Saccharomyces cerevisiae S288C: one gene and its partners. Changing the gene in region 2 together with the main gene of any one other region gives a genetic interaction. Each region holds a gene or a part of one and is shown on either strand. Other genes may lie near its edges.

Evidence for each region. Genes that interact genetically often act in the same process or in processes that back each other up.
Region 1: mutations in SAC7 (region 2) and TLG2 together harm fitness more than expected from each alone (negative genetic interaction), as found in Saccharomyces cerevisiae (5 studies listed by BioGRID, with this or other methods).
Region 3: mutations in SAC7 (region 2) and KRE1 together harm fitness more than expected from each alone (negative genetic interaction), as found in Saccharomyces cerevisiae (5 studies listed by BioGRID, with this or other methods).

The regions. Positions count from the first base shown.
Region 1 is NC_001147.6:289,289-293,658, reverse strand, and holds TLG2 (t-SNARE syntaxin TLG2), read left to right. Parts: upstream 1-1,584; coding exon 1,585-2,778; downstream 2,779-4,370. Other genes in the region: ESC8 (Esc8p), read right to left, coding at 1-1,130; TOS7 (Tos7p), read right to left, coding at 3,106-4,370. UniProt on the Saccharomyces cerevisiae protein: t-SNARE that functions in transport from the endosome to the late Golgi and on the endocytic pathway.
Region 2 is NC_001136.10:1,250,861-1,257,347, reverse strand, and holds SAC7 (GTPase-activating protein SAC7), read right to left. Parts: upstream 4,812-6,487; coding exon 2,847-4,811; downstream 1-2,846. Other genes in the region: E1 ubiquitin-activating protein UBA2, read left to right, coding at 501-2,411; RVS167 (amphiphysin), read right to left, coding at 5,714-6,487.
Region 3 is NC_001146.8:31,702-36,154, forward strand, and holds KRE1 (Kre1p), read right to left. Parts: upstream 2,535-4,453; coding exon 1,593-2,534; downstream 1-1,592. Other genes in the region: LEM3 (Lem3p), read left to right, coding at 243-1,487; VNX1 (calcium/hydrogen antiporter), read left to right, coding at 2,995-4,453. UniProt on the Saccharomyces cerevisiae protein: Involved in a late stage of cell wall 1,6-beta-glucan synthesis and assembly.

The sequences.
Region 1 (4,370 bases), on a different chromosome or scaffold from region 2:
CTGGGCTTCCTTTTCTTTCGATTTTCCAACTTTTGACTCATCAAAGAGCATAAAACTTCACAACTATCTAATATGTTATTGGCCCCGCACATAGCAAACCTGCTGGCGTGAAAAGTTTGATGGTTGAACCCTGTATCGCCTTTCAAGTGAGTGAGCCTTTGAATTTCATTATGGAAAAGTGCGGAGTAGCTACAATTCCAATCGATCATGCATCTCAATAATATTATTCTATCTAATGGTTCCATCGTCAACAAACCACCTCCATTAAAATTTAGAGTAGATAAAATATCACTATTACCACGCCATTCTTTTGGTAAGCCCCACTCCTGGATTAAGCTTCTGAGTTTGCCAACCAGTTTTCCATATGGATTTTTCAAACTAAGAAATCTTTTTAGCGTGAAATTTCTATGAGTTTGGTTGTCTGCTCTTTTCTCGGAGCAGAATAATAACCTCAAAAGACTGCAAAATAGTAGATTCATTTTATCCTGACAAATTCGAATATTCTTCGCAGAATGGCCAGCCACCTTTAATTCTAGTCCTATCTCCACATCTTGAAATGACAGGTTCAGTAGATCGTCGCTGAACACCCATTTAAATTTGACGATAAAAGAAAGGATCTTCATAACATCGCCTGCATATGGGAGAGGGGTGCAAAGGGGAGGCGCCCAATTGCTTTCCGTTACCGTCTCATCACTCATAAACTTTGCAAAGTCAGAATATCGTAAAGGAATATTTGGTGACCAGTTTAATGTATTCAATGGTCTATTATTAGAAGTAGTGTGTTCACTGATCGACTCTACCTTGTTAGTGTCGTTCGAATGTGTTTTGATATTAGAATATTTGCTTGCCATATTTGCCTCCATTTCTTTAGTTTTCATTTCTTCATCACAGGTACCTTCATATTTCTCCCGCTTTTTAGTATTTTGGGTAGCAGCATCCAGTGATTCGTCAATTGAACTATTGTGAGAAAGTACAACAGGTTCTTCTACAATTTTGATGTTTCTGAAATCATCAAAGGTCAACTGACCCCTTCTTTTTACCCTAGGCTTTGAAGACTGGTTTTTCTGTTGTTTGACCATAGGTTTCTTGATAAAGTCATCGACCAAGTCTAAATCAATAATTTCTGTCATTATTGTACCTCAAATTTCTTGTTCCTTATTTTCTTGTTTGATGTCTAAAAAAAAGAGATATCCTGGTAATGAGCAGGCCGTTTCTTCAGCTCATACAATCGAAAGCTTAAGAGTTAGTCGTTGATATGGTATTCTCTAATACCGAAAATAACTTAGTACATATAAACGCGTAAAGTTCACGCGTTTATATCACCCTACCATATGACATTCTAACCCTACTAATTTTTTATCAAAGCTAATAGGGTTGTATTTTATTATCTTTTACACCTACCTTTTTTTTTTGTATATGCCCTATAGATGAATTATAATTGTTGGACCGGTTTGTATTGGGCTTTTAAGGTGTAAAGTGAGTGCGTATAGATTATAGCAGAATAGACTATAAGTACGGCAAGACAGGAAAGTCTCCAATTGATGTACATTTTATCGCTTTGTGATCTAGGCAGTCGTTACAAACATGTTTAGAGATAGAACTAATTTATTTTTATCATACCGTAGGACTTTCCCTCATAACATAACTTTCTCATCTGGGAAAGCACCCTTGGGCGATGATCAAGATATTGAAATGGGTACATACCCGATGATGAATATGTCTCACGATATATCGGCCAGATTGACAGATGAACGAAAAAACAAGCATGAGAATCACAGTGATGCGTTACCACCCATATTTATTGATATAGCGCAGGATGTTGATGATTATCTTCTGGAGGTGAGACGGTTAAGTGAGCAGTTGGCGAAGGTTTATAGGAAGAATTCGTTACCTGGCTTTGAAGACAAGAGTCATGATGAGGCGCTGATTGAAGATCTAAGTTTCAAAGTAATTCAGATGCTGCAGAAATGTTACGCTGTTATGAAACGATTAAAGACCATATACAACTCTCAATTTGTGGATGGTAAGCAATTAAGTCGAGAAGAGCTGATTATACTAGATAATCTACAGAAGATCTATGCAGAAAAGATACAAACTGAAAGTAATAAGTTCAGAGTATTACAAAATAATTACTTGAAATTCTTGAACAAGGATGATTTGAAACCTATCCGCAATAAGGCCAGTGCAGAGAACACGCTATTATTAGATGATGAGGAAGAGGAGGCAGCAAGAGAGAAGAGAGAGGGCCTCGATATTGAAGACTATTCAAAAAGGACGTTGCAGAGACAGCAACAGCTTCATGACACTTCTGCAGAAGCATATTTGAGAGAACGTGACGAAGAAATTACTCAGTTGGCAAGGGGTGTATTAGAAGTGAGCACTATTTTCAGGGAAATGCAAGATTTGGTTGTTGACCAGGGGACTATTGTGGACAGGATTGATTATAATCTGGAAAATACAGTGGTAGAGCTAAAAAGTGCAGATAAAGAGTTGAATAAAGCAACACACTACCAGAAGAGAACTCAAAAATGTAAAGTCATTTTATTACTAACATTGTGCGTAATAGCGCTCTTTTTCTTTGTTATGTTGAAACCACATGGCGGTGGCAGTGGTGGTCGTAATAATGGTAGCAACAAGTACAACAATGATGATAATAAAACAGTTAATAACAGTCATGATGACGGCAGTAATACCCATATTAATGACGAAGAGAGCAACTTGCCGAGTATCGTTGAAGTAACAGAATCTGAGAATGATGCTTTGGATGACCTACTTTGATGACAAAACTTTCACGGTACCGCATCGCGATTTTGAACTATAATATGCTTTGAAGAAAATTGAGAGATTTAGTCAGCGTTCATATGACCTGTTGCTCGTTCTATTTGAGAAAAGTGAAAAGGTTAATATATGATTTCAATAAAGTATGTAGTATGATAATAAAATACAAATTTATATGGGATAAAATTGAACCGCAAGTAAAGACTGGCGAACGAATATTGTGCATAAGTAGTTCCTGAAGATGATAAAATATGGTTTAATACAAGTTGGTGGTTATTGTGATTTGTAGAATATAAAAAAAAAAAAAGAACCTTCATTTTTCTTTTTTTACCTAAATCCGTAAGGATTGTTCAGTGAAGTAGTAGCTCGGGGCAAGTTTTTGTTTTGCATTCTCCTCTTATAGGCAGGCTTATATCCTTGTGTTATCGGGCTTTGGTTTGGTAAAGGATTCGGAGCAAAACCGACGCCTGGTACCGGATTTCTGTGCTGTGGCACTTGGTTTGGGGCAACGTTGAAATAAGGATTGCTTTGTAAAATAACATTAGAAGGATCTGGACCAGCAGGAGTAGTTCTTTGATATAAATTGTATTGATGATATTGCTGCTGTGGTTGCTGTTGTTGTGGTTGTAGTCGTTGTTGGGGATACACTAATGGCGCCGGGTGTGGCTGACCAGCGTACGGCCTTATATTTGCAGGACCAGCGGCTGTTTCTCGAGGCATTTGATTGTATACTTCCGGATTGACACCTCTCTGTGATATTGAAGTCAACGTTGAATCTTTATCGTTGTAGGAGGACATGCTGTTGATGTGGCTATCGTTTGGTTCATTGAAGGAGGTCTCCATGATGTCGTTTAGTAGTCTCGAAGGATTTCTGTGCGGTATGACCTCTCTTTGAGAGTAGTCTGAGGACGCTAATGATGCACTGGATGATATTTCCGTTTTTCCTAGCGGAACTTTATAGTTTATATTGTTGCTGGTGTTACTACCATTGTTTCTCACATAATTATTAGAAACACTCCCATTTTTCAAGCCACTTTCACTTTCAATGACAGAATACGTTGAAGTTGACCTCCTTTTGTCATAGGCCATGCCATCGTCCTCTTCTTCATTAAGTCCGGAACCATTTGAATTTTCCATGTCCTTTGCTTCTTTATCGAAAGTAGAAATATCAGACGTGGTAGAAGTGGTTATGTTTGATAATTTCGGATCTTGATTGTGTGAAATAATATCTGGGACAACAGTGATATTAGTACCGTTCTTAAAATTGTCACCCAATAAATTCGTTCTTGAATCACCACGGAGGTTGGCCTCACTATCAGCGTCGATATCGAATCTCCCGGACTTCGAACTTAGATATGGGTCATTCAGCAGCATGCCCTTTTCTTCCAGTTCCTCGGTTTCGTCATCATCCCTTGAGCCTGAGCTTCTTGAATAAGCTGAGAATATCAAAGGAATTACTAGTAGAGATAAAGCAGCTCCTGGTATCAGGACCCATGAACACCAGGTTACATGTGGGTAAAACAGTAAAAATACCACGATACATATCAAAGAAGCAGAAAGAAAGCCTAGAGTGGAAAATGTCAAATTAACAA
Region 2 (6,487 bases):
TTTTCTTTCCCCCCTTCAAGTAATTATTTAGAATAAAAAGTAGTGTTTAAAGACGACATTTTGGAGCATGCACTGTATAACCAGGTTCAAAAAAATTTCGCCTGCTATTGTTTTCTTTATTTTGAAGATGTGAGAAAAGTCTCATATCTAGTGAGCTTCAGTCTGTTTTTAGATGTAGTTAGCAATTACTATTTTAGGTATTTCTTTGCGCGGTTACGGTCTCAAGAATTTATATTACCACAAAACCTATGTAAGCTAGATCTTCTTAGCGAAAGTGGTTCAGTGGTTAGAATTCATGCTTCCCAAGCATGGGGCCCGGGTTCGATTCCCGGCTTCCGCATTTTTTGTGCAATTTTTTTTTATACTCTATTTTCAAGTTAAAGTTTTTCAAAGGCGAAGTATGTTTACGCTAAATCAAGATATTTGGATGAGCAATCCACTAATTGCGTACTTCAACAGACACACAAGATCAGGAGCGCTACGCCAAACAAGAAAAGAAAATGCCAAGGGAAACAAGTTTGGTAACAATCATCGGTGAAGATAGTTACAAGAAATTACGGTCCTCAAGATGTCTTCTGGTCGGTGCTGGGGGCATAGGGTCTGAATTGTTAAAGGATATAATCTTGATGGAATTTGGTGAAATACATATTGTCGATTTGGACACCATTGACCTTTCGAACTTAAACAGGCAATTTCTTTTTAGACAAAAAGATATTAAACAACCGAAGTCTACCACAGCCGTAAAAGCAGTACAGCATTTCAATAACTCTAAGTTAGTGCCTTACCAAGGAAATGTTATGGACATTTCTACCTTCCCACTGCATTGGTTTGAGCAATTTGACATTATCTTCAATGCTCTTGATAACTTGGCCGCAAGACGGTATGTCAATAAAATATCACAGTTTCTATCACTGCCCTTAATAGAATCTGGAACAGCTGGATTTGATGGATACATGCAGCCTATTATCCCCGGGAAAACTGAGTGTTTTGAATGTACAAAGAAGGAAACACCAAAGACTTTTCCTGTGTGTACTATCAGGTCCACTCCTTCTCAGCCAATTCATTGCATTGTTTGGGCGAAAAACTTTCTATTTAACCAGCTATTTGCGTCAGAGACCTCTGGAAATGAAGATGATAACAACCAGGATTGGGGTACAGATGATGCTGAAGAAATTAAGCGCATTAAACAAGAAACTAATGAATTGTATGAATTGCAAAAAATTATCATATCAAGAGATGCATCCCGTATTCCAGAGATTCTTAATAAATTATTCATTCAGGATATAAATAAACTGCTAGCCATTGAAAATTTATGGAAAACGAGAACAAAGCCAGTACCATTATCAGACTCTCAAATAAATACTCCTACTAAAACAGCTCAGTCTGCCTCTAATTCTGTTGGCACAATACAGGAGCAAATTAGTAATTTCATTAATATTACACAAAAATTAATGGATCGCTATCCCAAAGAGCAAAATCATATTGAATTTGATAAAGATGATGCTGATACTTTGGAATTCGTCGCAACTGCTGCGAACATAAGGTCACACATATTCAATATTCCAATGAAGTCCGTATTTGACATCAAGCAAATTGCTGGTAACATTATCCCGGCTATTGCAACAACGAATGCTATCGTTGCCGGTGCATCGTCATTGATTTCACTGCGCGTTTTAAATCTTTTGAAATATGCCCCAACTACTAAGTATACTGATTTGAATATGGCTTTCACAGCAAAGGCAAGCAATCTATCCCAAAATCGTTATTTATCAAATCCGAAACTAGCCCCTCCAAATAAAAATTGCCCAGTTTGCTCTAAAGTTTGTAGAGGTGTTATTAAGTTATCCAGCGATTGTTTGAACAAAATGAAACTAAGTGATTTTGTAGTTTTAATACGCGAGAAGTACTCATATCCACAGGATATTTCGCTCCTGGACGCAAGTAATCAAAGGTTACTATTTGATTACGATTTCGAGGATTTGAACGATCGTACTTTATCGGAGATTAATCTTGGAAATGGTTCTATAATATTATTCTCCGACGAAGAAGGTGATACAATGATCCGCAAAGCCATAGAATTATTTCTTGATGTTGATGATGAACTCCCATGTAATACTTGCAGCTTACCGGACGTTGAAGTCCCATTAATAAAGGCCAACAATAGTCCTTCAAAAAATGAAGAAGAAGAAAAAAATGAAAAGGGTGCAGATGTAGTCGCAACTACGAACAGTCATGGGAAAGATGGTATCGTGATATTAGACGACGATGAAGGTGAGATCACCATCGATGCTGAACCGATCAATGGTTCAAAGAAGAGGCCAGTTGATACTGAGATTTCTGAGGCGCCCAGTAACAAAAGGACAAAGTTAGTTAATGAACCGACTAATTCTGATATTGTTGAATTAGACTAATAAATAAGAAAAGGTATCTATATATTTATTTAATCGTGGTTCGCAGTGTACGACATAAATGTTGCAGAGAAAATGCTTAATGATCATGATCCCTGTTATAGCTTATATGAAACAGCCAGTCATATAACATAGAAATTCATTATTGAAGAGTTACAAGCTGTAACATTTCTCTGGCATATTAACAACTTAAGAATTTTTATTCTTTTATTTTATACTGATTAGCATCGCTACAGAATAATTGTCCGTAATTTGTCCTCTTCATGATTTATGTTATATATGTTCCCTTTATGGTTATAAATCTTGAAAGGGGAATGATGTTTATTTGTTATTTATACAGAAGGCAAAGAAAAAGAAAGAAAACCGCCAACAGGTTTTTAAGGGAAATAACGAAAAAAAAAAAAATGAGGAAATTAAAAGGAAAGAAAAATGGTGTTATCAAGCCCTGTTAGCAGAGCCTGAACGGCTTGTTAGTCTTTGAAACCATGATTCCCTCTTGCGTGATCTTGAATTTCTTTCATCCCCATCATCTTCGGTTAATGGTAAAGCATTACTGCGCTCATTATTGCTATGAGTGTTACTTAGTAATTCTAATTGATCAGCGGAATTATCATTACCACTGGTCAGGATCATTGAAATAGGTCTAGTGTTAAAGGACGAATTGGTACTGTTTCCACTCAACGATCTGTTCATTCGAGGAATTGGCAGATAATGCTGTTTGGGCAAAGAACCTGAGTGTACGCTAGATGGAGACTGACCGTATGGATCAACATTTTCTTCTTCATAATCATCACCTTCAGCTTCAGTAGCAGTTAAGTCGCCATTGTCTCCTGTGTCACTCAAAATTCCCGGTTTATGTAACCACGGGAATAAACTCGTTCTTCTTTTATTACTAGCAATAACATCCGGAGGAACCGGAGTAGAACCAAACGATTTTGAGTGTGGTCTTCTTTGCTTCGGAGGCTTTAACATTTTTGAAGTCTGTAGGTCTGATGAGTTCTCCGGTATCGAAGTAGATATTGGCGATAACGTCGTATGGTCTAGTTTATTGTTATTGTCAATCGCCGGTGGGTTTTTATTGGAAGAAACTATTGGTGGCGAATCCGATGAGGTGATCTTTGGTATTTCTATAGGATCAGTTTTCTGTTTATCTCCATTATTTTTCTTATTTTCGGTTGACAACCGTTCCTGTTGTTCCCTTTTAGCCAACTTCAAAAGATGGGGTAATAGCTTGTACGAGTATTCAATCAAAAATTCCACTACTAGTCGGGATAACTCGTATTCTTTGGGGTCCATATCATGTTGAGGATGCGATAATATTGAAGGTTGGAAGATGGCCGCCAAGTTTCTACCAGACATTAGGTTAAACTGTGATTGCCTTGCAAAAAGACTCAGTAAATCGAGTAGGTATATAGTTAGCTGTTTCGTGTCATTTGATAAGGTAACAAAGAGCTCTTCATATTCCTTGATAGCTGCCCTTATATCGCGGGTCAGCCTTCTCTTATGACGTATTTTTCTTCGTCTTTTTTCTTCATCATCTTTAGCGTCCTCCTTTTCGATGTCACCATCATTAGCACCATCATCATTATAGTTCTGTCTACTTGATTTTACTGTTACATTATTTGTTTTATTCGCATTCGGATGAGAAACTTCGTGGGTCAACATATGCCTTAGGATTCTTGGTCTAGATCGTAGCGGGTTTCTGAATTGTTCATATAGGGATAAAGGTATTAGTGGTTCGGCCAAATTATTAAGGTATCTCCTCAGGAGCGATGCAACATCGTGCACTGTATATGTTTCCCAATCGTTGAATTTGGTACCATAATCAGGTGGCGACGAGAATATGTATTGAAGGGCTTTTACTCTTTTACCATTGCCCGCTATACGAAATATACCCGAGGTCTCCAATCCATTTGCTTTTAAGTATGCGCCGCACTTGGCTACCACGATGGGTATCCGACCAAAACTCACCAACTCACTTTGAACAATGACCTCTGCACTGGCGACGCTCAACGATTCTGCTAAAGTAACACCGAAAACCCTACCTGTGAAACCATTTCTATTAGATAAAAACATATCTCTGTAATTTTTGAACTCTGCGTGAGGCGATGTTCCGGAATTAGCGTTGTTATTGTTATTGTTCTGTTTCGCGGATTTGGAAAAGGATTTCCTATCTTTGGTTGGGGTATTATATGAATATGGTCTTGAAGATAATGGAGGCCGTTTTAAAGTAGTTGGTTGAGCATTCCTTGAAAGAGAAGTTGGTGATCTAGGGACTGTAATATTTTCGGATGACATACTCTTAGGGTTGTTTATGAACTGCTTCCAAAAACTTGGGACATGACCTTTAGAGGGAGAAACATTTTCAATTTTGGAGCCTTGTTTAAGAGTATTATTTGGCATTATAAAGATATTTTTAGTTTATCTTAGTGGTATTGAGAGGATGAAAGTAAGACCAAAGCAGGAATCAAATTGGAAGCTCGAAAGCAAACTTGTGAAGGCTAATTTCTCTGCCCCTCTACTTTAGAAAAAAATTGCTGTGAAATGAGAACGGCTTTTTGAACACTGCAATATAACTTTCTGGAGAAAATTTGTTCTGATAACTTTGTGATGCGTGAAAGCTTAAGAGATCAAAAATATGTGGAGTTTTCAAGTCACTAGTGAATAAAACCAGTGGAATGGGTAAAAAAATTTTTTGTAACGGGCCTGCTATTCTAGGAAACCTAACGAAGACTTTATCAATTTGTTTTTCCTCTTCTGAGATCGTCCGATCAAGCCTAACAGTTTCGCGAGTAAAAAGGATGATTTCTTCTAAATTTAGTATTAAAGTAATGAATGCGTACACCCTGCTTGAAGATGTTGTGCAATGTAGCTCAGTTTCTTCCGCGCCAGGCCACTAGTCTTGCTTTTTTCCTGTTTGTCAGCACCGGTTTCCCAACTGGGCTGTGTCATCGACAAGACAGAGATGGTGTTTTATAAAAGAGAAAGGAGACTGAGGAACGTCGTTTTAGGAAGACTAGGCGAGGTGAGCGAGAAAACTGATTTCCCCATATGGTAGGCTTTGTACCATATTGGGAAGGTGGCAGCCCTATTGGGAACGCGCTCCTTCCCTTTTGGGATATTGTCAGTAGGGTAATATGCTCGCCGCATGCCCGTAATAGATAGACTCAAACGATACTTTGTTGGTGGAAGGATGAATTACCCTATATAGTATTTAAATTAAGAAACATTACAATAAAAGAAAAAGGTAATGGTAACATCTCACAATAGAAGGTAATGAATACAGAGGGATGCAGGGGCCTCCTCTAGTTCTTGTTGAGTTGCACGTAGTTCCCAGGAAACACACCTTGCTGGCCATTGTATCTTCCTGTCCACCATTCGTTCACGTCCGGAGTACGCTGGACAATTTCTATAACTGCGCCGGCAGGGAAAGACAAATCACCAGCAGCTTGAGCTTGGTAGTCATACAATGCGGTAACAGTTTCAACGCCAGGAGCTGCCGCTACGGCCGCGGCTGGTGTGCCCGCAACAGGTGATGTTAGAGGATTAGAGTAGGCCGGTGGTGGTCCCTGTTGCTGCTGTGGTGATTGTTGGAAGCCTAGCCCAGTGAGCGGTGGAGATTGCGCAGCAGCATACTGTGGATAAGTACCCGGAACAGCGCCAGCAGCAGCACCAGCAGCAGTACCAACAGCAGCAGCAGTACCAACGGCGGCAGCAGTACCATACTGGGCAGCAGGTTGAGCGGCGTAACTTGGTGCTGCGGCACCATAACCGTATCCTGTAGGGGTTGGAGAAGTGGCAGTTGCTGGATCATACCCAGCACCATATCCGACACCGCTTGATGCGCCACTGACGGGTGAGCCTTCGGCGGTTGCTACACCATACTTCCTTCTGGTCATCTCCAATTTTGCCTTAGAGTAACCGAGTTTAAAGTGTGTAATAGTCAAGGCGTCCGTTTGTTCTTCCACATTGCCTTTCTTGGCAATGTACGACTCTACAATGTCACTGTTCAAATCAAAATATGGAATCTTCATGTCTTGAAGTCTATTATACAAAGTGTAAAAAATGTTCAATTGCAT
Region 3 (4,453 bases), on a different chromosome or scaffold from region 2:
AGTGTGGCAAAATGCAAATGAGCGTTCTGGTAGTATGTGTCCAATGTTGTAGTGTCAACTTTGTCTGCCGTTCTGGTGGCTTTTGACAGTTGATTTTCCAACGATTATTATTATGCGCGAAATTAAAGAAAAGGAATCTTGTATGATGATAAAATAAATAGATCAAATTAAATCATCAGTACAGACCAGAAAACAATTAAGTGTCCTTTTAGAAATACGAGAGGGTGGTAAAATATTGAAGAATGGTAAATTTCGATTTGGGCCAAGTTGGTGAAGTATTCCGTAGAAAGGACAAAGGAGCTATAGTGTCCGGAGACAACCCAGAAGAAGAAGAAGACGTCGATGCTTCTGAGTTTGAAGAGGATGAAGTAAAGCCTGTGCGTACAAAGAACAGAAGACCCAAAGAGGATGCATTCACTCAACAAAGATTAGCGGCTATAAACCCGGTGTTAACGCCGAGGACAGTTTTGCCTCTTTATCTGTTAATTGCTGTTGTATTTGTTATTGTAGGAGGGTGCATATTAGCACAGAACTCCAAAGTGGATGAAGTAACCATATATTACCAGGACTGTATGACTAACGCAACCTCATCATGGAGCGACATCCCTTCTGAACATTGGCAATTTGTATTTCACAAATATAAAACATATAATACTGCACCACAATGGAGGTTTGTGGATGATGAATCAGATGACTTCACAAAACAAAGAGGTACATGCCAAATCAGGTTCACTACTCCAAGTGATATGAAAAATAACGTATATTTGAATTATGTGCTGGAAAAATTTGCTGCCAATCACAGAAGATATGTACTATCTTTTAGCGAAGATCAGATACGTGGGGAGGACGCCTCTTATGAGACGGTGCATGATGCAACCGGTATAAATTGTAAGCCACTATCTAAGAACGCCGATGGTAAAATATACTATCCATGTGGCCTAATTGCGAACTCAATGTTCAACGACACGTTCCCCCTGCAGTTAACAAATGTAGGGGATACGTCTAACAACTATTCATTGACAAATAAAGGAATCAATTGGGAATCTGATAAAAAAAGGTACAAAAAAACCAAATACAATTATACACAGATAGCACCTCCACCATATTGGGAAAAGATGTATCCAGATGGATACAACGAGACGAATATTCCTGATATTCAGGATTGGGAAGAGTTCCAAAACTGGATGAGGCCAGGTGCTTTTGATAAAATTACAAAACTGATCAGAATCAATAAAAACGATACTTTGCCAGCGGGTGAATACCAGTTGGATATCGGTCTGCATTGGCCAGTATTGGAGTTTAATGGTAAGAAGGGAATCTACTTGACTCACGGTTCTCACCTTGGCGGTAGAAATCCATTTTTAGGTATAGTTTACCTGATTGGAGGCTGTATTTGTGCTGCCATGGCATTGATATTATTAACGTTTTGGCTCTTCGGCGGTAGAAAGATTGCTGATGCATCAAGTTTGTCATGGAATATGAAATAGAAAAGGAGTGATGGTTTTCTTTATTTTTAACCCTGTAAAATTTTTTTATTTTTTTATTTTTACTCTTATATATGTATATGTTTGTGTTTATTTCTGAATAAAAATTTATAAGAACCAAATTAAAACCGTTAATAGCCCACCCAAAATTGAAGTAAACGAACTCATACCTAGATGCTGGGCCTCATTATGCGAAACTGTTTTCTTTATTGCAGATTTAATAACGCCTACAGTACCGGTTAAAGTACCCATCCCAATAGACCCCACGGAGGGAGAAGCGACTGTTACGTACTGGGAGGAGAAACGCTGGACAAAAGTAGTTTGCACAGTGATAGTGTTGCCCTGTCTAACAACAGTGACCCACATGGACGTTGGCGCACGTGTGGTTGTGTAAGTGGAGGTTGTACCTTCAGTGATGGTAATGTATGAGTCAATAGATAGACTAGTGACAGCAGACACAGGAGGTTCTGTGAAGTCTGTGGAGGGGTCTGGCCTGGTGCCTGTTTCAGCTACTGCGCTCCCTGTCGATGTGGTCGTCTTTACACTGGAGGATGAACCAGACGAAGATACAGACGAGGACACAGACGAGGAGGCGGATGAAGTAGCACTGGTGCTAGAATGTGTGAACGTTTGAGTCAATGTAACTGTGGTACCCAAATCGTTTGTCGTGGTAACTGTAGATAAATACAGTCCCGAAGACAACGATGAAGTTGCGGTAGGAACAGTGGTGGTTGTCTTACCAGTAGATGAGGTAGAAGTCGTCGTGGTTGGTAGCATAGTGGCTCTGTTGACTGTCTGAGTAAGAGTGACGGTGGTTCCGACATCGTTAGTGGTAGTGAATACCGTAGTGAAGAAACCTGTTTGAGCGGTAGTTGTAGCAGCAGCAGCAGCGGTGGCAGGGTCCCATATTGTGGTCTCCGTAACCAGGGCCCCTGCGACATTTGTTACCACTGTAACCTGAGTTGTCACAGCTGCCATGACCGCAGCTGACCACAACGACAAAGAAAGTAGCAGCGTAGCGAATGAATGTAATAGCGTGCGACGCATCATTTTTTTTTTGATTGTCTTGCAGAAGTTGAAGAGGTCTTTACTGTAGCATATACAAGTGCTTAATTCTTGATTTTTATTTTCTTTTTTTCATAATACACGTTATAGAAAAAGCCCCATTCTCAGTTTATGAAAAAACGCGATATCACCATACACGCTGAGGTAGGGGGATACAAGGTGAAGAATGTACGCAATAAGGCGAAGTATATGGCACAATTGAGCAGTAAAAGTGTTAAAATATAGTGATATATATATATAAAATACGAGAGTACCAACTATTATGATCTTTTAATGCCCTCTTTCCGTTGAGATATTCATAATAGTAACCGTCACGGAACTGTCGCTTTATACGGTGAGGGGATTATTTAGTTCCTAATTTATATTAGATAAAGAAGATAATAAACATGAGGGATGCTGTAAATGAAAGTGAAATAACTGCTAGCTAGAAGAGCGGTAAGCAGCAATGGCCAAAAATAACCACATTTCTGCCAGTGGTAACAGTACCTCTGGAGACCATCGTCTTAAAGAGGAGGTTCTGACCCCAACTACATCTGCCTCGACTCCTCATAGAATATTTAGCGTGGACGATGATCCAAAGGAGATCCAAAACGATATCAGGTATCTTGAGGGTCTGCATGAAGGGTTGAAGTTCGCCCTGCATGCCAATAAATCCAAGCGATCTGTAAGCTCGCAATCACCAATCGTACATAGCAGCAACAACACGCTGCACCACCACGAGCACCAACAACACTTGCCGCCCACACTAGAGTCGCTATCCTCCAAGTCGCACTCTGTGCCAGACTTAAATACAGCTACTCCCAGCTCTCCGAAACGAATGCATTCATCTATCCGGGAATTACCTCATGATGACAATGATGACGAGGACGCCAATGATGACAGTCGGTTCATTATACACGACTCGCACGGCCATGATTTACTTATAGACGAGATCAATTGCCAGTCGCCTTCACACTTGGAAAACAATGACCAGGCGTCTAATGCTTCGTCCACAGAGTCATTCACTTTACGAGAAAGACAGGACGCCATCAACGAGACCCACCCCTTCGGTATCAGGATATGGAAGCCTGCTTTATATAAGAAACACCGTTCAGTTCAAAGAACCGCGGCGCAAGACATTCACGAGACTCAGTTGAAGACTATTACCTGGGAGGTGACTTGTTCCAATGTGCTATGGTTTATTTTGTTCGGTTTCCCCATTGCGATACTCTTCTACTCGGCGGCTATTGTGGTATTTTTACTAGGCGGCGGAGGACTGGTAACGAACTCTGCGAAGGAGTACTCCAAGTGTCTGTATAAACTCGCCAATTATTTCCTTTGGCCTTTTGGCAAAATGGTATACTTGTTGCAGGACGAGCAATATTTACAAGAAGATAAGGATGAAGGTATTAGTATGCAGCAATTCTACAATTGGGTGACTTCATACTCCAACAGGCTGGTCTTCCACCAGTCTCAGGCCAAGTTTCAGCAAAGAGAGGACCATCCGGCCCCTGCAACGGAATCTTCGTCTTTGATGCCGCCCGCTAACACAACAGCAACACCGCTTAACTCGAACCATCCATCATATAATTCTATTAGACACGAAATTCCGCACGCAGCGGCTCAAAGACGGTACTTTGGGAGAGGAAAATGGAGCTGGGGTCGTGTTCTTTTCTATACAATCTTCCATCTCGTCTTGCAACCCATCCTTGCCGTCTTATCTCTTTGCCTCTGGCTCCTGGTGTTTACCATTCCCATGAGTAATGTTCTTTGGCAAATTATGTATCATTGCAGAAGACATCCGCTTGCATTAGGCTTCAAATATGTCGAGAACTCCTCCCAATCGCACGAAAATGAAATAACCCAGCAGCAATTGAACAAAAATATCCTCTTATGTACGTTCCGTGCCGCTGGCTGGCATTACT